Linked DNA regions of Stegostoma tigrinum. The protein of the gene in region 3 purifies or fractionates together with the protein of the main gene of each other region. This does not show direct contact. Links are inferred from orthologs where the notes say so. Each region holds a gene or a part of one and is shown on either strand. Other genes may lie near its edges. The genes, in order: git1, git2a and serine/threonine-protein kinase PAK 2-like.

Region 1 (6,964 bases), on a different chromosome or scaffold from region 3:
TGAACCAAGTCCATCGTCTCCTCCCGTTCAGGCAGTATCTGCAATCCCACAGAAGTATCAGCTCCATGTTCCTGCTGCTAATCGATTATCTTGTCTGCGTGATACATTTGTTACAATTATCGGCCAAATGGGGGCTATATGGACAGGGGCTGGCTGGATTATTGATAGACACCCCGATCTAACTTGGGCTTCAATGGTAAGGAACTGGCCGCTGTTTGCCCCTCTTTTTCTGTTTTTTTTACAGCAGAAACCGCGATTTGGAACATATTTTGCAATGCTACACAAGCTCACACGCGTCGTACAAGAACGCTGATGCAAACTGATTGAGGTAGACCCCCGTTTTCAGGGAGATAGACGAAACCATCACGGTGTTGTGGCTGTTTCAGATCGGACCCGGTCATCGCCAGCCGTGAGAAATTCAGAATCCCGCCACAAACCACCCCCGCCCCCAACCTCATCTCGAACTCTGCATTCTCACTCCATTTACCGGAGGCTTTGTACACCCAATTCCTAACATAATCGTTCCCAACTCTGTCCTAGTAATTGCTTGCAGTATTTCAGACTTTGTGCATTCTCGGAATACACTGAGCGTCCTCTAGTTCCTGCATATAGCTAAAGCCCCATTCAGTGACACCGTGTGCCAGCGGCTTTTCTCCCAGTTCTATAAAGGATGCGTGAAACGTGTTTTGCTCCGTTTGCTGCATTTCCGGTCCAGAGTCATGTTGACCTCCTGTATTTTCACCTGTCAGTTGCGGATTGTGGCGGGAGGCCAGGCCAGCAAGAGGGTCGGTGTGTGCTACTTCCACTTTACCGTCACAGTTGCCCTTACAAGTTGCAACAGAACGGGTCGGAAGAATGCGGAGATGCATTTGCTGCACATCACAAGCAGCGGAGCCCTTCCAAAGGCTTCGGCTACTTTTAGGGTGGGGTGATTTGGTCTTTTCCAAAAAGGGTAAAAACAGTTTTGTTTTATTGATTCCCAAATGGTAGCCAGTTACTACCGTGCCCACAGCTCCAATATGATCACAAGGGAATGTCAGTTGCATTCAGCACCTTAGCATGAGAACAGTTTCCTGGTCACGAAGGCTGTATTTTGTGCTGTAACCGTTTACTCAGACTCCGCCTCGGTGTAAATCGGAACTCGCTCAAGAGAGATGGAATAGTTCTGCGCCTGATTTCAACAATTCAAGTTCAAGTAAAAACCAACTTCTAAACGGGAAGGAAGACCAGTATTGTGTCTTGTGACTCCCAATCTTACCGTTTCTGGCACAAACGTAAAATACTGGAAATGCGAAGTGAGCACGGGAAAAAAACTGGAAAATCTCAGCGGGTAAGGCAGCCTTTGGAGACAAACAGTGACCCTTTCAGGTCGATGACCTTTCACCAAAATTCTGGAGAGGGCCGTGTTAATTCCGCTGCACGGAGGCTGCCTGACCTGTTTAGTTTCTGATTACTGATCACCCATCACCCAAAAATTGGAACTTACAGCACAAACCGAACAATGTGCTTATTCACATAGGTTTTGTGAACTCACTGCATCCAGTCTTTTTTTTAAATGTATAAAATCTGAGCTGAGTCTGCATATGGGGACGGACAATTCTGGTTAAAGAGGTTCGGTTTATATTACTGACTTTATCTCGCTAACATCTGTCGAATATTCTTTATTGCTTTTTCTAACAATTATTTGACATGGCGGTTGAATAAAATAATGTGATACTGACATTTTAATGAATACACTAATTTCCCTGTTGCTTTTCATTTCTACACCACGTAACAAATTTCCACTGTCTCAAAAATCAATCAGATTGGTTTGACATAGAGACCATGCTTGGAAAAGCGATGTTTCAGTGTGCCGGGCGCGGAATGGTTGGCGCCTGTGTGATTAACTGTGCATTCAGCTCTTTAAAGCGTGCAGCCACAGAGATGACAGTCCCATCCTTTTTTCTGGCCTCTTGTATCAAGTGTCGGTCGGAGCCATTGTACACCGGAGAAACTATGCTAAAACGACATCCAGACTCGAAAGGTTTCTTACAATTCATCAAACATCGTTTGATTCTAGCCGGAAAGCTACATCAGACAGCACGACAGAACCTTGAACGATATTTATCAATTTGATAGGAAACAGGTGCAACCCTACGAAAATATTTTTTGTATCTGCACAGTTTGGAACTAAATTGAAATTCCAGATCTTCTCAAAAGAAGTTTATGTGAGATAATTAAACCAGGGTCTTTTAGTTTGCGGTTTATTTTGAACCCAATCTGTGAGCTTGTAGTTGCCTTACTTCCACAGAACATTTATTTTGACAGACCAACATGCTTTTCTTTTCATACATACACACACACACACAATATGGCAACTTCCTTTTGGAGACCGACTGATATTGGAACCCATTTCAGGATTTCGTTTTGGGTGTTAAAATGGGCATCAGGATTTACGGGAATATTTTAAAGCACTTGGCATAATCTTCTTTCCACTACAGAACACATATGGTTCCCGTATTACTATGGATGCCTCATTTCCATATAAGATAGTAAGCGGAGAATAGTAACCACACATTTCGTCTTTAAGTGACCGAAGAAAATAAAGACTAAAAGTCAATATATAATGAAAACTTCGCGATCATGATTTTTAATCCTTATTGGAAGAAGCATATTTAAACAATACATAACCCAACGAAGGAATCAGCTAATTGTACGGCACTAGCACAATTCCATCCAACCTAATGCACGAAAACGGATATGGTCACAATTCGGATCCAAGAATATTTTTAATGTAGAAAAAAATAGATTATCTCCAATTCTTCCGACTGACAGCATTTAATTTCCGATTTATAATTAAACAGCGACTTGTCTATGTTCCTGCATCTGATAGCATTTAGTCAATTCCACTTGCATTGCACCACCCCATAAATACACATACACACACACATCACCCACCTGCTTGGTGCTAAGTTCCTTTTCCAGATCCTTGTATCTATTATGCCAAACCAAATAATGCAACGGATATTTTTCTGCCACCCTTCTCGCAGAAATCATTCTGATATCATTCTTCTCTTCCAGATAACATGCAAACTACCTTTGCAGCAGATAGTCAAACCCCTGGCAACAGGCACCAATCCCTATATTGCTCGGCAGCTGAATATCGGACGATAGGAAGCGCTGTAATTCTTGCTTTAACTGTGTGGGAAAAGAGGAAGTAGGAGAAAATCGAAGGGTGAGGAATTACCAAGTTACTGTGGGGGAAATATGCAGGTTGAAAATACGTATGGAGCGTAGATTTCAAATAATATAAAGAAAATCTACAACGTGGCCAATTAGCATGTACTACTGATTTTTTTCCGTTCATCATGAGTACCAATTAGTGAGAAAATGCAGTAGTTGCGCATTTAAATTTATTACCAACCCCATTATCTATAATATTGGAGATGCGCTGTTTTAAAACCTCCTGGGAGCTGTAGTTCGTCCGTTGAGGTGATAAATATTAGTGGGAATTTGCAATTTAAAATGAGCTACATGTTTTTGACCAATTCCGGGGAAATAATTTTAATATGTATGAATATGGGTAGGCAACTGAAAGTGCTCCGTTCTGGGCAATGACATCACCCTCGCACCAGCTAACCGGCGAGAACTACAAATCCCAGCACACCTTGAGGCGGGTTACCGCCTCCACGTCCCGCCTCCTGTTGGTGCTCGTTCCTTCGCCCAGTGTCTACCAAACTTAGCGGCTGATGAGGGCTGATTGGCCTGCGGTGACGTAATTGGGAAGCAGCGGCTTGTCTATTGGGCAAGCCTGCTGCCAGTCAGGTGACGGCGCTGGGAATCCCACCAGCAGCAGGTTGGGCTGCGCTGCGCGGGCCGGGTCTTGTCGTCATTTCCTGGTTGCTCTGGGAATGGGGGCGGGCGGGGGAAAGCTGCGGTTTTCCAGTAACTTGTCTCGAACCGGATGCGTCTGCGCTAAACACACTGGCCCTGAGAGATTTGGAGACCTGGCGGTGTCGGAGGAGGGGCTGGAGAGGTAGCGGGGTTTGGGGTAAGGGGAGGAGGTGAGCGCTGGGAATAAATTAGCAGAGACCGGGAGAATCATCATCATCATCATCGAGGAGAGCAGAAATGTCCCGAAAGCTGCGGCCCAACGAAGTGTGCGCCGACTGCAGCGCGTCAGGTACGTGACTCGGTGAATGGGGATGAGAAAGAGAGTGGTGGTCAATTCGGGAGCCCGGGGAATCAGCCCGAACCCCTTCCCCACCCCCCCACCAACCCCCTCCCCATTTGCTTCTACAGGACGACGGGGTCCGTGGGGCAATACGGTTTGGGGGTGTTAGGGAGGAGGTGGTGGTTGCTCTGATTTGGGGCCTGTCAGGTCAGTCGGTCGGTCAGCGGTCGGCAGTCAGCACCCAATCCCTGGCACCGGTTGCCAGGCGGTGGGTTTTCGGTCAGCCATTTGTGCCGGGGATTGGAAACTGAACTGAGAATCCTGTGTCGTTACATGTGGAGAGGATGGTCCATTTCGGCTTGGGCTGCGTGTGTGTGTGTGTGTGTGTGTGCGCGCGCGCGCGTGTGTGCTTGCCTCTTCCTTCCCAAGTGTTTAGTGGCCACTTGTGAAAGTCTTGTTTGGAAACGTCAAGTTCCCGGTTGCAGTATTGGCTATTGTCCCAAGGCTGACCAGTGATAAACCGGACACAGTAACCGGTTTGATGAACTCGCGATGCCATCCCTAAGAAACCAGTGATTCTTTGTGATCGAATTGCTGTATGCAACGACTTTGATTCTACTCTACTGAGAGTCTTAATTGATGTGTAAAACTTTTCATTGGTATCTGATTTATTGATTCAAAACGATCTGACCCGAAAACTTAGCCATCTGTTTCACTTTTCATTTGAGGTGGATTTCTAATTATTCGCATATAGATCAAAAATAGGATTCGGTCCATTTTGAAGTGTTCTATTTTGCGATATTCACTGAGTTACATAACAGCGGAGGCACAATTGCAAGTTGATTGTCTGCCAGCTGAGCTGTGATTTAAGTTTGTAGGAGATATCAGATCTAATTTGGCACACATCAAATCTGTTGGAGTGAGCTGTATACTTTTAAAAGGGAGTTTGCAGTAATTGTGATTATGCCAATTGAATATTATGTTTATCTTTAGCTATAATTCAAAATTTGAAGTTTACACAATATAATAGATTATAAATCATGTTGGCTTTCTCATGACACATGTTTGAATTCTGAAGTTTTATGGTAATTTTGACAGTTGAATGTTATTTCTGTTTTCTTTTAACCCTGTAAAAATGAAATCAACTCACTTATTTCTTGAGGTTATTTGTGTTTGGTATCATCTCTGTGCATATTTGGTATTCAAAAATAAACTACACACTTGAATGGTCTTGCTGTCAACCATCATGTTAATCTAGCGCTAAGAAGAGGGTCCAGTGTTGCGCATGTTCCTATCCAAGGTGCTGCCCCAGTAGTTGACTGCAGTGGATAGGGGAAATTATGCAGTTGGGACTACTTAGTACAGTTGTAAAATAGTGAATTTGTGAAAAGCCGAAAGGAGAGCTTATGATGTAGGTTTATAAGATCTCTTTTTTTAAAAAACTTGTTATTGATGGCGTGACATCTACTGCTTTGAGCTTTGTATGCTGGTCTTATGCATCTTTTAACTATTTTTACAGTTTTTAAAGTCAGAGTAATTATGAACAATAATGTGCGATGTTCTGTTAATGCATTTTTAAAATTAAAGCTTATGTCAAGTTTTCTATTAATTCCAAGCACTCACTGCACATCCTGAGACTGTCTTTTGTGTTTTTAAGTTGAGATGTGTGATTTGAAAACATTTGCTATGGAAAATATTGTTACATATTGTCCTGTTTTATATGTAAATTATTTGTATTTGAGTGACTTTTTGATGGAAGATGGGAGCACTTACAACTAAATGTTGGGGATGTGGAGGAAGAAAGTTTTTTGATTATTCATGTTATAGACAATTGGAGTGGATGGGAGAATCGTTAGTAATATTCCATTTTGGAGTTCTGTCACGCATCAAACAGAGGAAATTAACATAAATTTATCAAAATATTTTTAAACATCTCGAAATCAAAACCATTGTCTCCAAGAAGGGCGAGAAATTCAGATATCCTCCAGGCCAAGTGTGTGTGTTAAGCAAGAGATGTAGTTGCACACCTACACAAATATTTGGAGTTGAAAAGGACATAGCTGTAAGCAGTGTGGATTACATCAAACACTGGGGAGGAAAGTGTAACCAGAGCATTTAGCCCATCAAGTCCACACTGACCCTCTGAAGAGATTATACTAGCTGTGGGCTATTAAAGTTTATTTCCAAATATCATTAAAATGTCTTGTTTCCTAACAACTAGTTTATACATCTTACACTTTTTAATCATAGAATCCATACAGTGCCAAAAAAGGCCATTCAGCCCATTGAATCTACACTGACCCTCCAAAAAGCATCCCACCAACCTATTTCCATAACTCCACATTTACCAGGGCAAATCCACCTAGCCCAAACATCCCTCGACACTGCAGACAATTTATAATATCATATAATACAATACAATAACCTCTGAGCCATTGCACTATCTGGAATAACATAGATTTGAACACATGATCCAGTGAAGCATTTCCAGTTGGGCAATTGCAAGCCGTTGTCTCATTACTTGTAGTCATATTATGAAAAATAAACCTGGCTTTCAGGAAAAAGAAATGAAGCCCAAGTCCTTATTGTTGGAGAATTTCATCTGTTGATTCACTGGTCGCTTAAACCTTTGATCAAAAGTGTAATGAATTATAGGCCTCCATTCTGTGAAGTATACTTAAAATCTTAATTTTATAATGTGGGTTACTTGCCCAATTAAGTCTGTACTGATTACTCTTGCTATTTAAACGACTTGGTCTAATTTCCACATCTACTTCCTCATGCATCTTTTATTATTTTCCTTTTTCAAGT
Region 2 (7,994 bases), on a different chromosome or scaffold from region 3:
AAACAATCAGCACTCAGTCAGTATGATGCAGCTGGCAAATGTCTAGGAAGGGGCATAACAGTCAGAGGGGAGGTGGCAAGTGCTGGTGTCAACGTTGCATGCAATCATTCTAATGTGGAATGTACAAATATTCTGTATTTTATTGGAGGGGTTTATTTTGGAATCTGTCTCCAGTGACCTCTTCCAGGATATGTGGTAGGAAACTCTCTGAATAAAGATTGATTTGTACTGCTGAACACGGGACTCAAGACTCGTCTCTAACAACTGTTGCAGCAATGTGGGTACTGCAACTATGTGAGTGTCAATTAAGTGAATATGTTTGACATATCACCCTTAACAAACCTCGTAGTTGGCCCCAGCTATAATCTGCAGTATTTAAAAGAATGAAGGGAGAGAAGGGAGTTGTCCTGTGTGAGGCAGATGTTCAACAGACTAGTTCACCCCGGGGATGGTGAAGAGCCCCACAGTTGAACAGGAAGAGGACAGTGACCCTAGTTCATCCTGGGGACAGTAAAACAGTCCCACAGCTGAACAGGGAAAGTGAAATCCACACAGTAGGACACTAGGCAGAAAGTGCTAAAAGCATTGCAAGGTAGAACATAGGAGTGCGCACAGGGAACTAAGGAGGGCAAGAAGGGAAGAAACCTTGCATCACTTTAAAGCTGGCTAATGAGTCAGGGGCAGGCTCTGAGCAAAATATTCAAGAAGGAGAAAGGAGAGCAGGCTACTGCCCCCACCACTTTAGCAAGACCAAAACATTTGTCAGCAGCCTGTTTTCTTTATCAGTCATTGTCATGGTTGTATATTTTCTTTAGTTACATAGATAACGTATCACAATAGCAATTGTTTAATTGGCTTTAAGTTTGGCAAACTGTGAGAAGCAGCAGTTTTTAAAATCAAAGTTCTCATTTTAGACTGGGAAATCTTTAACTTTTTTTGTGGCTTTCTGTTGGCCTTTAAAGAAAAGTAAGATAGATGATGAGAGTAAACTAGCTCAGAATATAAAAACAGGCAGCAAAAGTTTCTATAAATATGTAAATCGTAAAAGAGAGGATGAGAAGGACAATTTACTAACTGGGAATGAGGAAATAGCCGAGACATTAAACAGTTATTTTGTGTCAGTCTTCACAGTGGAAGACACAAATAACATGCCGAAAACTAATGGCAAGAAGGTTACAGCAGGTAAGGACCTAGAAACTATTATCAGTCAGGAGGCAATGCTGGGCAAGCTAATGGGGCTAAAGGTAGGCAAGTCTCTTGGCCCTGATAAACAGGTGATGGGGAAATAGCAAATGCACTCATAATTATTTACCAAAATTCACTGGGCTCTGTGGTAGTTCCCGCAGCCAATGTGATGCCACTGTTTAAAAAGGAAGTAGACAAATAACCGGTAACTTTAGGCCAGTTAGCTTAGCTTCGGTCGTGGGGAAAATGCTTGAATCTATCACTAAGGAAGAAATAGTGAGACATCTGGCTATAAATTGTCGCATTGGGAACACCCAGCGTGGGTTCATGAAGGGTAGGTCATGTTTAACTAATTTGGTGGAAATCTTTGAGGACATTACTTGCATGGTGGACAATGGGGAACCTGTGGATGTGGTGTATCTGGATTTCCAGAAGGCATTGACAAGGTGCCACACCAAAGGCTGCTACATAAGATAAAGTTGCATGGAATTACAGGTAATGTATCGGCATGGAGAGAGGCTTGGTTGACCGACCAATAGAACGCAGAGTCAGGGTAAATGAGTGTTTTTCTGGTTGGCGGTGGTGGCTAGTGGTGTGCCTCAGGGATCAGTGTTGGCACCTCAATTGTTTACAACTTACATAGATGATTTGGAGTTGGTGACTAAGTGTGGTGTGTCAAAATTTGCAGATGCCACTAAAGTGAGTGGTAGAGAAAAGTGTGCAGAAGACAGTCTACAGAGGGATATGGATAGTCGAAGTGAGGGGGCAAAGGTCTGGCAGATGGAGTACAATGTTTATAAGTGTGAGGTCATCCATTTTGGTAAGAATAACAGCAAAATGGGCTACTTTTTAAATGGTAAAAAATTGCAGCACGCTGCTGTGCACAGGGACTTGGGTGTCCTTGTGCATAAATCGCTGTAGGTGGGATTGCAGGTGCAGCAGGTGATTAAAAAGGCAAATGGAATTTTGTCTGGTCATTGCTCAAGGGATGGAGTTTAAAAACAGAGGCTATGCTGCAGCTGTATAGGGTCCTGGTGAGGCCACAACTGGAGTACTGTGTGCAGTTTTGGTCTCCTTACTCGAGAAGGGATATACTAGCACTGGAGGGGGTGCAGAGGAGATTCCCTTGGTTGATTCCAGAGTTGAGGGGGTTGGATTATGTGGAAAGACTGAGTAGACTGGGATTATACTCAGTGGAATTCAGAAGAACGAGGGGCGATCTTATAGAAACATATAAGATTATGAAGGGAATAGATATAAGTGGAGGCAGGGAGGTTGTTTCTGCTAGCAGGTGAAACTAGGACTGGAGGGCATCGCCTCAAAATAAAGGGAAGCAGATGTAGGACTGAGGTCAGGAGGAACTTCTTCACCCAAAGGGTTGTGAATCTGTGGAATTCCCTGCCCAGTGAAGTGGTTGAAGCCACCTTGCTGAATGCTTTTCAGGCAAGGCTAGATAAAATTTTGAAATGTAAAGGAATTAAGGGTCATGGTGAGTGGGCAGGTAAGTAGAGCTGAGTCTCAAAGATCAGCCATGATCTTATTAAATGGCAGGGCATGCTTGAGGGGCCAGATGGTCTACTCCTGATTCTAGTTCTTATGCCAATGGCATGTTTGAAATTTAATATATCTGGCAAATGAACCAAAGGAGATTTAAAGTTTTTTACTAAATGCAACAAGTTGTAATAATCCATGGCACACTGCTTGAAAGGATGGTGGAAGAGATTCAAAAGTAACTTTCCAAAAAGAATTGAAGGAGGAAAAATAACGTTGCAGGAATGCCGATGACATCCAGGGTACTAAAACATTAAAAGCTCTTTCAGGAAGCTGGCAAGGGTGTGATGGTGAAACAGCCTCCCCCTATGCCGTATAATTCTCAACTAAAGGTTGAAGTTGTCAGTGCCTTCTGATAGAGCTGGGGAAAAATGGTGAAACCAAAAAAGTATATTCTCCTTCAGTGCCTTCACTGCAAATTTGGACTGATTCCTCAACCCTCCAGTTATTGAAAGGGCCAAGGAAAGTTAGAATGGGGAAAATTTGTGGGAAACAAAACAATCGTGCAAATGCAGATTTGACCCCTTAAGTGTTGATTTCCCCCCCACCGCCACCAAGAAAGGAAATACACATTCCCTAGCTTTTACTCTGCCTAAATTAGGAAAAAATGTATCATTTAATGTTTTTGTATATTGTCATAATAAAATAATCTTTAATAAGACAATATACAGAAGTACCAATTGCACACATTTAAAAAGAAATTATACTTGCAAACTCTGCCATCTGTTTCAGTAACAAATAGGTGTCACATTATAATATAGTAGAACTAATTATAAATGTCAGTCCTCATGGTGAAGGGAACTTACAACTTTAGTGACTGTTCTTCCTTCCCACTTCACTCTGACCATTGTAAAGTATATATAAAGCATAAAAATTATAAAGATTTATTTAGTGACAAGATAATGCAATGTAAATTGAGTAAAGGTAATTCAAACTATCAAGTTTGCTCCTCTCTCGAACAGTGCATCATCTTTCCTGTTGTGAAAAAAACTATATTTTATATTAAATCAAGACAAGGGTAACTGTCGGTCTCACATATCAACTAATCATCTCCAATCTTGAAATCAGATATTGAAAAATTCCAATCCAACTTAAACAATTTAACTTGAGGAAACAGTAGTTCTTTCAGTTTTGCCTTGAGTTTTTTTGCACTTATGGTAGCCTCAAAAGATTCCAACTAAATAATGTTTAAAATTAACTGTGTGAATACCTTGGAACATTTACAACACGCCCTATTTCAACCATTTAACTAAACTGAAAGGGGAAACACGTTGCTTTGGAACTAGTGAAGATTTTGGATTCTTTCGGCTGAAGAAAATTAGATCTTCAAAGCAGTAACAGACTTTAAATATCTTCACCTATAAACATCATCTCAGGGAAGCTCTCCACCACCTACTGTGAAGTTTAAACCGTTTCTAAGCGCAATCATACGCTGAATAAAACCTTGCCCAGTATCAGTGACTTACTTGTTTCAGTTCTTCCTCAACTTCTCTATACTGGTTGCGCCAGACCAACAGGTGAAGTTTATATTTGTTCTTGACGTCTTCCAATGAACACATCCTAGTTCTTCAGCTTCAATCGACCTCCGCCCTTTCCTCTATAAACCCCTCCCTCTAAAGTGAAAAGAGGACAGCGGGAGGGTGAGGAGAGAAAACAACAGAACTTCTGAAACTTTCCAAAAAAACTTTACAGGAAGAGATGGACAACAAGGAAATACAATCCATCCAGCCTAGAGGAGGGGTCTATAATAAGCACACTAGCACCCTTTTCAATAAATGTCGGCATATTTGCTGATCTGTATGCTTATAAGAGTGATATAGTGAAATTATTACTTGTCGAACGACTTGATGCTTTGCTTCACTTTTTTCCACTATCAACCATTTTCGACACTACAGGAACCCCCCTCCTCTTCCCTTTAATTGTGGTTCAGCCCAAACTAAAGTATCGAGTGGATCGGCAGGTAAACACTAGCTGATTACTTTCTCGGCTCACGAATAAAGTGACAGGTCTACATGTTCCATTCAACATGATGTCGCATTTGGTAACATTAAAAAATATTTTGCAAGGGGGAAAAGTAATGTGTGAAAAGTTTCTGTTCAGGAAACCACATTTTTATAACTTCAGCTTTCCCCCCCTCGCGCTCCTCGTCTTCCGACGCCTGCGTTTGGTTTGGCTTGTATACGCATGCGTGACGCCCGGGCAGTCCTCCAAGATCCCGGCATACCATTCGACGTCTCCAAGCTGCTTGAGCCAGAGGCGAGTCTGACAGGAACTGTAACCTGAGTGCAAACTTCATGTTGACGGCAGTTTGTAGTTAGAATTAAAACGCGTCTCCCGTTAAATTTTAGCGTGTGTCGTGTGATTTTTGTTTTTATTTAAGATCCCGATTAAACGGCATTATTAGTTAACTGCCTCTGTCCATGTCGAAAAGATTGAGGAGTAACGACATCTGCGCCGACTGCAGCGTCCCCGGTAAGTGATTGTGGGGGAGGTAAAGGTCTGGGGGCAAAAGAAGGGCCCTTTAGAAATGCTTTTTGTTTAAAAATGCTGAGACTTATCGTGCTGCTAACTGGGACTGGGAGAGGAAATTCAAACAAGCTTCAGTTCTGTCTGACACACGCGCACAGACACGGAGGAAGTGAGAGAGAGCTAAAAGATGCAGAAACGCTGCAAGCCAACTAGGACGCAGCCAGGAAATATCCAGCAACCGGTTTGTGTTCTTTCATTCCACTCCCTTCAACCGTGCTCTTCCTTTCTCTTTATAAAAAAAGCAGCACATTTTCAGCATAAAAATCATTCGTAGCACCCACTTCCTCAAACTTGTGGCCTCTATCCCGTCTGCACAATTCAAGTTTTAGTTTGTTAACCAATTTTTTATATTAAAGCTGTGGGTTCTAATCTTTCATAGACTGATTAGTATGCCGTATTACTGTTTGCTTGTCGGAGTTAATACAGTTTACTGTATGCATCCACTTGTAGATTTTGTGCATATCTCTTCTGTTATTCACTTGCTCATTTGTACTTATTTTTCTGTAAACTTGACAATTCTTTTTCTTCTGTAGTTGGTGTTTTTTTTGGTGGGTGAGGATTCCTCTAAATGGAGCAGCATTTACAGTGATCCCTTGTACAATGGCTGCTTCAATGTTTCTTTGTACATGGAGTAATTTTTTATGAGTTAGAAATTCAACAATTTATTTTGTAGTGATGTAATTTTCATTATAATAGGGTACAGCATTTTTTTCCTCAGCAATTGCAGTGTAATTTTTGTGCTGGTAGTATGTTAACTTGTGATAGCTTTGTCAAGACTTTACAATTACAGAACTTAATATTGTAACTTGTAGAGAGCAGCTAATATTTTGCAATTGCTTTTAGGTCTATAATGATGCATAGCATTGAGTAATAAGGTAGAATATGGAAGAATTGTTGCACGCTGAATTTTAGAAGTAATTTTCTTTGCTCCCTGCTGCAAACTGTTCCCTAGTTTACAGACTCCATATCTCCTTGAAAACTACGTGAGCCTCTGTGTCATATTTGACTCCAAGATGAGCTTTAAATATTTTTCCACCACCTTGCTAAGAATGAGTTTGCACTTCCAAAACATTGCTAGGTTTGTTCCTGTTTTTATTTAAATACTTCTGAGACCCTTGTATGCCCTTGTTAACTGAAGACTGGTCTGTTCAAATGCATTTCTGCCTCCTATATTGTACACCCCCCTAAACTCAAGTTTATCTAAAACTCTGCTGCCCAAGGTTCTTACTCCTGTTTGGGTCCTGTTTAACGATCACATCTATGTTTGCTGACCTACAATGTTTCCCAGTCAAGCAACATTTCAATTTTAAATTTTTTATCCTTGTCTTTGCCCATCTATATCTGTCTAATGCCCTTCTGATGCACAGCCCTCCATGAAGACTGCATTCATTTTATTTTCTCCTCAAGCATCTTCAATTTTAATTGCTGCGCCATTATTGACTCTGCTTTCCTTTACTAAGGCACTTAAGTTTTCAAATTCCTTCCCAAATCTTGCTTCTATTTCTTTCTCCTTGAAGGTGGCCTGCAAAGTCTATCTCTTTGACCAAGCTATTCACTAGCTGCCCTAGTACTACGTCTGGTCAAATTTTGTTGTGAAGCACCATGGGACCTTTTATTACATTAAATGCAATATGTAAGTGCAGATTGTTGTTCTATGATATGGCCATGCCAGATCTCCAAGTAAAGTATGCTCTGAATGTTGGAAATGTGAAATGACAGAAGCTGAAAAAGCATGCCAGCCCAGCCAGCAGCTGAAGGAGAAAGATGAATCGATGAAGATCTTATCAATAACAATGTGTTATATTTTATGTGGTTATTATTTTTAAATGTACTTCTGTTTTTCTTATGTTTATGTGACTTACATTTGAATTGTTAATCTACACTAACCAAAGGAGAGAGATTGATTTTACCTTCTAAGTTTCAGTTGAAAGTGTATGCAACACGTTTTCATGTGAAATCAGTGCATTCGGCTAAACGTCTTTACAATTGGTCAGTGCGTTGAGATTAGGAGTTGGGATGTCATGTTGCGGCTGTACAGGACATTGCTTAGGCCACTTCTGGAATACTGCATTCAGTTCTGGTCTCCTTGCTATAGGAAGGATTTTGTATAACTTGAAAGGGTTCAGAAAAGATTTACAAGGATATTGCCAGGCATGGACGGTTTGAACTGTTGGGGGAGGCTGAATAGGCTGGGGCTATTTTCCTGGGAGCATCAGAGACTGAGAAGTGACCTTATAGAGGTTTGTAAAATCATGAGGGGCATGGATAGGTTGAATAGTCAAGGTCTTTTCCCTGGGGCAGGGGAGTCCAAAACTAGAGGGCATAGGTTTAAGGTGAAAGGGGAAAGACTTAAAAGGTCCTAAGGGGCAGCTTTTCCACACAGATAATGGTGCATACATGGAATGACCTGTCAGAGGAAGTGGTGGAGGCAGGTACAGTTACAACTTCTAAGAGGCATCAGGATAGTTATATAAATAGGATGGATTTAGAGGGATATGGGCCAAGTGCCTGCAAATGGGAACAGATTCATTTAGGATATCTGGACGGCATGGCCGAGTTGGACATGCTGTACAGCTTTATGATCATAGTCATTTGTAACCTTTCTGAAAGTCTCCTGAAAACTGCTCTTTTATGATTGTATTGCTTATTGCCTCCCTATTAACTGTCCCAATGTCCATAGATACCTTATAGTGTTTATCTTTAATTCTTTAAAACTAAACTCTACATAA
Region 3 (7,727 bases):
TCCTGCAAATCTTCTAAGTGACTCTCCTCCTGCTTCCAGTGTAAGTAGGGTTCCCTCCTTAAGCTGACCAGAGTTGTGCTCAATGTGATTTCACTCATGGCCTCTGCAGTTTTAAGACATCCCTACCTGTATTCTCCACTCCTTTTGTAATAAATGCCAACATTCCAAACACTTGCCTCATCAACTTGTTCAGGGATGTAACACCTCTGGAGTGGTGGGATCTGAACCTAGGCCACCTGACTCAGAGGTAGAGATCTACCAATGTGTCACAAGGGTGCCGAAGCCTAAAATCCATTGTGTTCCGAATGACATGCTGCACTTGGTGGCTGATTATTTGTGATATATATAAGAAGTCTGCAGTGTCTCTCTGCCTTAAATAATAGTCTGCTTTTCTATTTCTGCCAAATTGGATGACCTCACATTTTCCCACATTGCATTATATCTGATAATTTCTGACTCCCCATTCTTTGTAGATTTAATTCCCAACTTATCTTTGTATTATCAGCAGAATTGGCTACAAAACAGTCAGTCCCTTTAACAAAGTCACGGACATAGATGGTGAATAGTCAGTTTCTCGTACTGATCCCTGTGGTATTCTGCTAGTTACAGTTTGTCATCATACTAATGACACATTTATCTCAACCACTTTTATCTTCTTAGTTCATTCTCTACACATGCTAAACACCCTGAACACCATGAATGCTTACCTTTTGTGGTTGGCTTTCATGCAGTGATTTTATCAAATGCCTTTCAGAAATCCAAATACACTACAGCTACTAGTTCCCCTTTAAATATGTCGCTTGTTACATTCTTAAAGGACATTACTGCAAATATCAATCAAATTTTTCTTTCACAAAACCATATTTACTCTCCTTGATAGTATTAATTTCAGATTGTCCTTCCACTACCTACTTTGTAGTGAATTGTAGCATTTTCCTAATGCCAGACATTGGAGTAACTAATCTATCATTTCTTTGTCTTTCTCCTTTCTTGGACATAGGTGTATTTTCTGGTTTTCCACTGGGCTGGGTCTGTTCCAGAATCTAGGGAATTTTGGAAGATTACAACCAATGCATTTACCATTTCTCTGTCGCTAGTTTCATTTATTCCACAGAATGCAGACAATCAGATCCAGTGGACTTGTCAGTGTGTTTGATTTCTGTTGCTTTTCCTGTGCTTTTTTGGTGACTGTTTTCTTTCACTTCCTTCATTTTGCTGATTGATTTTCTAATATTCATGGGGTGACTTTTTATCTTTAACCTTGAAGACTATTGACTTTCGCTAACTGTTTGGACATCCTTCTGCCTTTATCCAAAGATTTGTTATGGACCTGCAGTTCTCACTCAAACTGAATCTCAAATTCTTTCATGCCTTATTCACTCCTCTCGAAGGCATCCTTTACTGTAAAGGTCATTAATTTATTCTGTTTCATTCCCAATTGATAAAGTTGTTCCCTTGTAGCTTCCAGTGTGTATTGTCTTTGAAACTATTCCAGGAACACATCCTACAGGCCATCTTTGCCAATTTGATTTCGAAAGTTTTTGTCCACTCACTTACCTGACTAAATCCCTTCGTAGTCTCTTTATGTTCTTTTGACATATTTTCCTACCTAGCTTTGTGTCATCTTTGTCTTTAGCTAATGCCAAATGTTTGGGGTCTTCACACAAACATATCAGGGATTTCCAATTGTTTTGTATGAGGAACTATCTTTCCATTTATCTCTCATACAGGGCCAGCTAACAAATTTTGGGCAGATAAAGTCATAAATACTAAACATGAATTTGAAACAAAATTCCAAAGCAATAATTTGAATAAATTAGTGACTAATAGAAATGATCTCTAAAAAGTGCCGAGTAGCAGAGCTAACTAATAAAACCTTTGTCATTTCAGGTAAGGTCATAAGAACACAAGGTGTAGGGTAGATTCATTCTGCCCATTCAGCCCATTGAGTTCGCTACACTATTTAACAAGATCATGGCTGATCTGATAATCCTCATCTCCAGTTTTCTGCATTTCCCCAAAACCCTTAACTCTCTTTCTGATTAAAACTCAGTATAAAATATCTAAAATATAAAATAAAATTAAATACATACTTAAATATAAGAAAATAGCCTTTAAATACCATGAGGCAGAGATAAGTAGTACTTGAATAGTAAGGCGGTGAAATGTTATGGGTCGGTGGAAATGTACAATTTTCAGATATGTAGCAAGAAAATAAAATGCTAGATTCTATCCACTTTCCTGTATGCATCGGAAACCCAAACAATTAGAAAAATGCATGGGGAGAAAATGGAAACCTTTGAAAGGTGGGTGCAAAGATACATGCTAAAAAGTTCCAAATGCAGACTACAGTCATTAAGAGGTCCTTGAAATCATGAGTGCAAAAAGGAGTCTAAAAATGGCATCCAGAAAACAAAAACTGTTAGTGTTTTGGTATTTGGTCAGAGCTGGAAAGCTGCAGAAATGTCTTTCCTCAGGCAAGGCTGAGAATTGCAGAAATAGCTGTTCAACTAGCTCTAATTAAATGAGGGAAATAACAGAGTGGTTGCTGATGAGCCACAGTTGGATGTGAGGGGAGCACAACATACCACAACAACAACATACCTCCTGGCTGGAAGAGATACCAGCAGCAGCGGGAAGTCAAAATGTAACCTCAAATCAAATTTCAAAACTTACTTTCACCTCTGAAGTGGAGAGTTATGAATGTGAGAATTGGAATTTGTGATAAGGATGGAATGAGAACATTTGTGGAGGGCAATTGTCCAGGATGGGTGTGGTTAATTACGGTCTGAATGTTGGCTGCTGAGATGGAGATTTGAGGAGGTAGTTGGGGAGAAAGGAATGTGTGAAACTGCAAGGTTGGTCCATCAGAGGAGTGCCTGAAGGGATAATTCTGGTAAAGTCAGAGAGCATGTTTGTGTGTGGTAGACCTCCACAGCAAGGCTAAACACTCAATCCTGGTAAGAACCTGTGCATGGAGTCTTTTAACGTGGGGAGGCTTGTGCTGTCGCTAGCACCTGATTCTGGCTGGCCAGGAAACTTGCACATTTATTTTTACCGAATCATAAAGATTTATATATTGATAACCAACCTGCTGGGCCATGTTCTGATGTACTTTCACTGGCCATTAAGGGTTCAGATGGGGCCTGAACTCAGATCTGCCAGCCAGGAGGTAGGGACACCTACCTGGTTGGGTGATGGAAGACGCTGTCAAAGTGGCAACGACAAGAATCTTTCCTGGCCGAAGGAGGTCATGAACACAAACAGGAAGTTCCAACACTGAGATAACAAGGCATAGAGCTGGATGAACACAGCAGGCCAAGTAGCATCAGACGAGCAGGAAAGCTGATGTTTCGGGCCTAGACCCTTCTTCAGAAATGGGGGAGGGGAAGGGGGTCTGAAATAAATAGGGAGAGAGGGGGAGGCGGATAGAAGATGGATAGAGGAGAAGATAGGTGGAGAGGAGACAGACAGGTCAAAGAGGCGGGGATGGAGCCAGTACAGGTGCGTGTAGGTGGGGAGTTAGGGAAGGAATAGGTCAGTCCAGGGAGGATGGACAGGTCAAGGGGGCGGGTTGAGGTTATTGGGTAGGAGATGGGGGTGCGGCTTGAGGTGGGACAAGGGTATAGGTGGGAGGAAGGACAGGTTAGGGACGCGGGGACAAGCTGGGCTTGTTTTGGGATGCAGTAGGGGGAGGGGAGATCTTGAAGCTTGTAAAGTCCACATTGATACCATTGGGTTGCAGGGTTCCCAAGCGGAATATAAGGTGCTGTTCCTGCAACCTTCGGGTGGCACTGCAGGAGGCCCAGGATGGACATGTCATCAGAGGAATGGGAGGAAGAGTTGAAATGGTTCATGTCTGGGAGGTGCAGTTGTTTAGCACGAACTGAGCATAGGTGTTCTGTAAAGCCGTCCCCAAGCCTCCACTTGGTTTCCCCGATTCTGCCACTGTGTTCAGATGCTGAGCACCAGACTCCTGCTGCTGACAGCATCTGCAGCATATAGCCACTGCATCACAAGAGATCAAAGAGTATGGGGAGAAAGCGGGAGCAGAGTACTGAGGGTGATCAGCCATGACCATATTGAATGGCAGGACAGGATTGAAGGGCTCAATGGCCTAATGCTGATCCTATTTTCTTTGTTGGTGGAGCGGGGAGCAGTTGGCCTCTTGCTCCCATCCAGAGGAATGGGCATCTCTCCTCTGGCCCTTGCTGCTTCCAGCATCACCTCCAGGCAAGAGTCAGATAACTCAGGAGGCAGCTTTCCCATGATTTTCTTCCATTTGCATGCATTCTGTAATAATTTGGGTTCCTGGAGCCATTCTGAGGGGAGGGAGGGTCTCTCAATAAGTGAGAATTAATCAGCACCAGCTCCGCCGCCCTCTTCCCTGCTTAGCAACAGAGTCAACGCTGTGTTCCCATGGTAACAGTAACAGCACCGGTGCCTCCCGGAGAAGTCCTCCAGCAGCTCGGAAGACGGGGTTTCTATCCCATCAGGCAGCAGGCCGCCGTGCATGCCGGGAAGTGTAGTCCAGCCTGGTGAGATCCCGGACGCCATTCGGCCTGCTATCCACGTCTCCTCCGAGGCCCTGGACTACAAATCCCGGCGTGAACCGGGGGGAGTCAGTGGCTTGGGGAAGGGAACAAGCGGCCGCGGTGGGAGAAGGAGGAGCCGGTGATTGGGACGGGCCCCTTTCGGTCCTGCCCACTCCCCCACCCCGTCCTCCGACCCTTGCCGCTGTCGCTCCTAGGCCGGGGCCGGGCTTCACTTCCGCTTCCCTCCCTCTCTGTGTGTCCCTGTCCGCCCCGCGGCGGGGGCGGGGGAAAGCCCCCAGGCTGCACGGCCCCTACCGCCGGAGACCCAGCGCTGCAGTCCGGGTGAGTGTAGGCCTCTGCCCGCCCGCTGGCCAGCTACCTCCTTGACCCCTGGACCCGCACCTGCCGCATTTTCAGTTTAAAATCCCTGCCGCTCACGGAGAAACCTGGGGCCAGGGTGGGAAATAGAGGGCCTGGTATCTGGGAGCTGCTTTGGGGAGGTGGGTGGAAGAGGAATTTCCGGTGGGAATGAAGGCGGAGTGAGGGATAGAGGTGGGAATGGTTGGGGGCGAAGGGGGAATAGGGGTTTTGGAAGTGAAAGGGGGTCGGGTGAGAATGGGGGAAATCAGGGGAAGGAGGTGTTGGTGAGGATTCGGGGGAATCTGGCAAGGAGTGCAAAGCGGATTCAGGTGTGGGGTTAAAATTGGGGGAGGGTCAAGGGGGTTAGCGAGGGGTTATGTTCGGATGATGAATGTGGGGTGTTTGTCAAATGGGAGAGAATGAAGCACAGGTGAGTGGGAGGGACTGGGGTTTTTTGAAAGGATGAGGAAGTTTGTGCTTGATGTCTGATTTAGACGTGATGATGTATTTTGAGCTGAGCTGAGGTGGCGGTGAAGGTGTAGGTATTGTGTGGGGGCATCTTTAGGTTAGGGTAAGTATTTTTTTTGTGTGTGGAAGATGAAAATAATGTGTGTGGATTTTAGAACTGGAAGAGGGTCTCCTAAGCAGTGAGGATATTCTGGTGAGCTTTGTGCAGGGGAAGCTGAGTAGGGATCTCAGAATTGGTGACAAATTGTGATGATGTATCTTGACAAGGGAGAGGAATTGAATTAGTTCAGGAGAAAGTATGTGGAAGTCTGGGGAAATCTTGTAATGTATATATTACTGCCTTAGTCTTGGGAAACAATTTTTGAAGTTTAGATATTTATACTTTCAAACCAGAATAGGATCAGTCTCTACCATTTCCTGACGCTCTAGCACTGGGAAACTTTTGAGCGGAAGTGCAACAGTGTAGCGCAACTGCTCATTTCTGAATAAGAAGAGATGGCTATATTAGAGTCTTGTGCTGAAAATTGTGGCAAGCGACCAGAATTCTGTCTCTGAGGGAAGTGGTTAATATGGTACTCCAGAGTTGTCTGTGTGTGTAGTAGATGTGAAATGTTCGTGATATTTAATCAGAATATTGAGTTCATTTGATCTGATTAGTGTAATTTGACACACCGTCTGAAATATTGTCTCTGAAGTACTTGTGTGAATTCAGGAGGTGTTGATTTTATCAAGAAACATTATTTTAATTAAAACTGCAAGATGATTAGGATTTTTCAATAGACAACATGTAAATGCATTCTTTTGAGGCAGACTGACCCCTGTCGGTCTGACAGTCACTGGTACAAAGGTGACATGTTGTATGTAAAGCACTTGACCTGTTAAACAGGACTGTAATTTTGCAGTAGCAGCAGCTGCACTGGTATTGTCACAGATGGAGCAAAGCAGTCAGTTCATGTTCAGTCAAGACTTGAATATTTACTACATTCCAAGCAGGATATACGGGCCTGAACCTGCTCTGTTTTACTTTGGTTTAGTTCCTCAAATTTTCGTAAACTACTTATCAGAATACAAGGATGTGAAAATGAAGGGGCTGAAATCCCCACGTCTACTCCCTTTCATGAAATTGTGTTGAAGTCACATTAGATTGGATAAGACAATGTTTTGTCATATTGAAAGAACGATTTACGTTATGTGACGATAGTGCCTTGCGTACACTTCCAGCCCCAGTGAAAACTTCAAAGGGGCTACTGCTATGAGAAAGACAACATTGATCTCATTGACAACAAAGTGTGAGGCTGGATGAGCACAGCAGGCCAAGCAGCATCTTAGGAACACAAAAGCTGACGTTTCAGGCCTAGACCCTTCATCAGAGAGGGGAATGGGGAGAGGGTTCTGAAATAAATAGGGAGAGAGGGGGAGGCGGACCGAAGATGGATCCCTGAGGTTGGTCCGGTGGGAGGAGGGTAACTTCTTCAGGTTAGGCATCCCTGGAAGAGGCTTTGCAGTGAGGCTAAAATTGTGATCAGAGATAATAGGCCGGAAACATCAGCTTTTGTGCTCCTAAGATGCTGCTTGGCCTGCTGTGTTCATCCAGCTCCACACTTTGTTATCATTGATCTCATTGACCGTTTGTCTTGGTGATGTTGATTGAGACAGCTATTCTCCAGGATGTGTTGAATAGGATCAGTAGAGCTTGGTTTAACGTCTTGTTGGAATATCAATATCCTTGACAGTAAAGTATCCTTGACACTAAAGTAGTGGGACTTGAACTCATGAAGTCCTGGTACAGTGAGAGTTGTGTGGACTGAGCCAAGTTGCTGTTCAAGAATTTTACTTCCAGCACCTTGTTACTTGTATTCATTCTTGTGTTCATCTGTCTTCAATTGTTGCACGGTGTGTTTGGAAGACTCCAGTTTGATAACTGGTTGTCTAAAATGCAAGCAGTGCCTCAGTTAGTGAGCGCACCGCAAGGCCCAGTCCTCGGTCTGCCTGAAATTGTAAACTGTGTGAAGCACAGGTGGCTTTGAGAATTCTCAATTGGATTTTGAGGGAAAATATTTGTGACATTTGTCTGGCTGTGATCTATTCATCCTTTTATTATTTTAAAATTAAACAAAATGTAGTGGATAGATGCCACTTTTAAAATCACAAAGTTGACAGCAAATGTTTGCTGATGGAAATTCTGTTTCTCAGCACTTCTGTGAAAATGCTGCAGTAATGCACCTCTGTGTGCTCAGGTCCTGTAAGCAATGATTTTAACACCACCACTTGCGTTGAGAGAGTTGCCAGTAATGAATGAAACAGCACATCGCTCAACTATTCTTTGTGAAAGTTGGCCTGGAACGGTGATGAATTTTGATAGTG

What was found.
Region 1: the proteins of serine/threonine-protein kinase PAK 2-like (region 3) and git1 purify together in Homo sapiens (affinity purification with mass spectrometry; 5 studies listed by BioGRID and IntAct, with this or other methods). This does not show direct contact. The link is inferred for Stegostoma tigrinum from reciprocal best matches to the Homo sapiens genes PAK2 and GIT1.
Region 2: the proteins of serine/threonine-protein kinase PAK 2-like (region 3) and git2a purify together in Homo sapiens (affinity purification with mass spectrometry; 3 studies listed by BioGRID and IntAct, with this or other methods). This does not show direct contact. The link is inferred for Stegostoma tigrinum from reciprocal best matches to the Homo sapiens genes PAK2 and GIT2.

The regions. Positions count from the first base shown.
Region 1 is NC_081380.1:31,329,671-31,336,634, forward strand, and holds the start of git1 (ARF GTPase-activating protein GIT1), read left to right. Parts: upstream 1-3,939; 5' UTR 3,940-4,110; coding exon 4,111-4,162; intron 4,163-6,964. Other genes in the region: ankrd13b (ankyrin repeat domain-containing protein 13B), read right to left, coding at 2,938-3,036. UniProt on the Homo sapiens protein: GTPase-activating protein for ADP ribosylation factor family members, including ARF1.
Region 2 is NC_081379.1:12,955,000-12,962,993, reverse strand, and holds the start of git2a (ARF GTPase-activating protein GIT2a), read left to right. Parts: upstream 1-4,949; 5' UTR 4,950-5,156; coding exon 5,157-5,208; intron 5,209-7,994. Other genes in the region: ankrd13a (ankyrin repeat domain-containing protein 13A), read right to left, coding at 4,203-4,295. UniProt on the Homo sapiens protein: GTPase-activating protein for ADP ribosylation factor family members, including ARF1.
Region 3 is NC_081367.1:6,528,731-6,536,457, forward strand, and holds the start of serine/threonine-protein kinase PAK 2-like, read left to right. Parts: upstream 1-4,657; 5' UTR 4,658-4,877; intron 4,878-7,727. UniProt on the Homo sapiens protein: Serine/threonine protein kinase that plays a role in a variety of different signaling pathways including cytoskeleton regulation, cell motility, cell cycle progression, apoptosis or proliferation.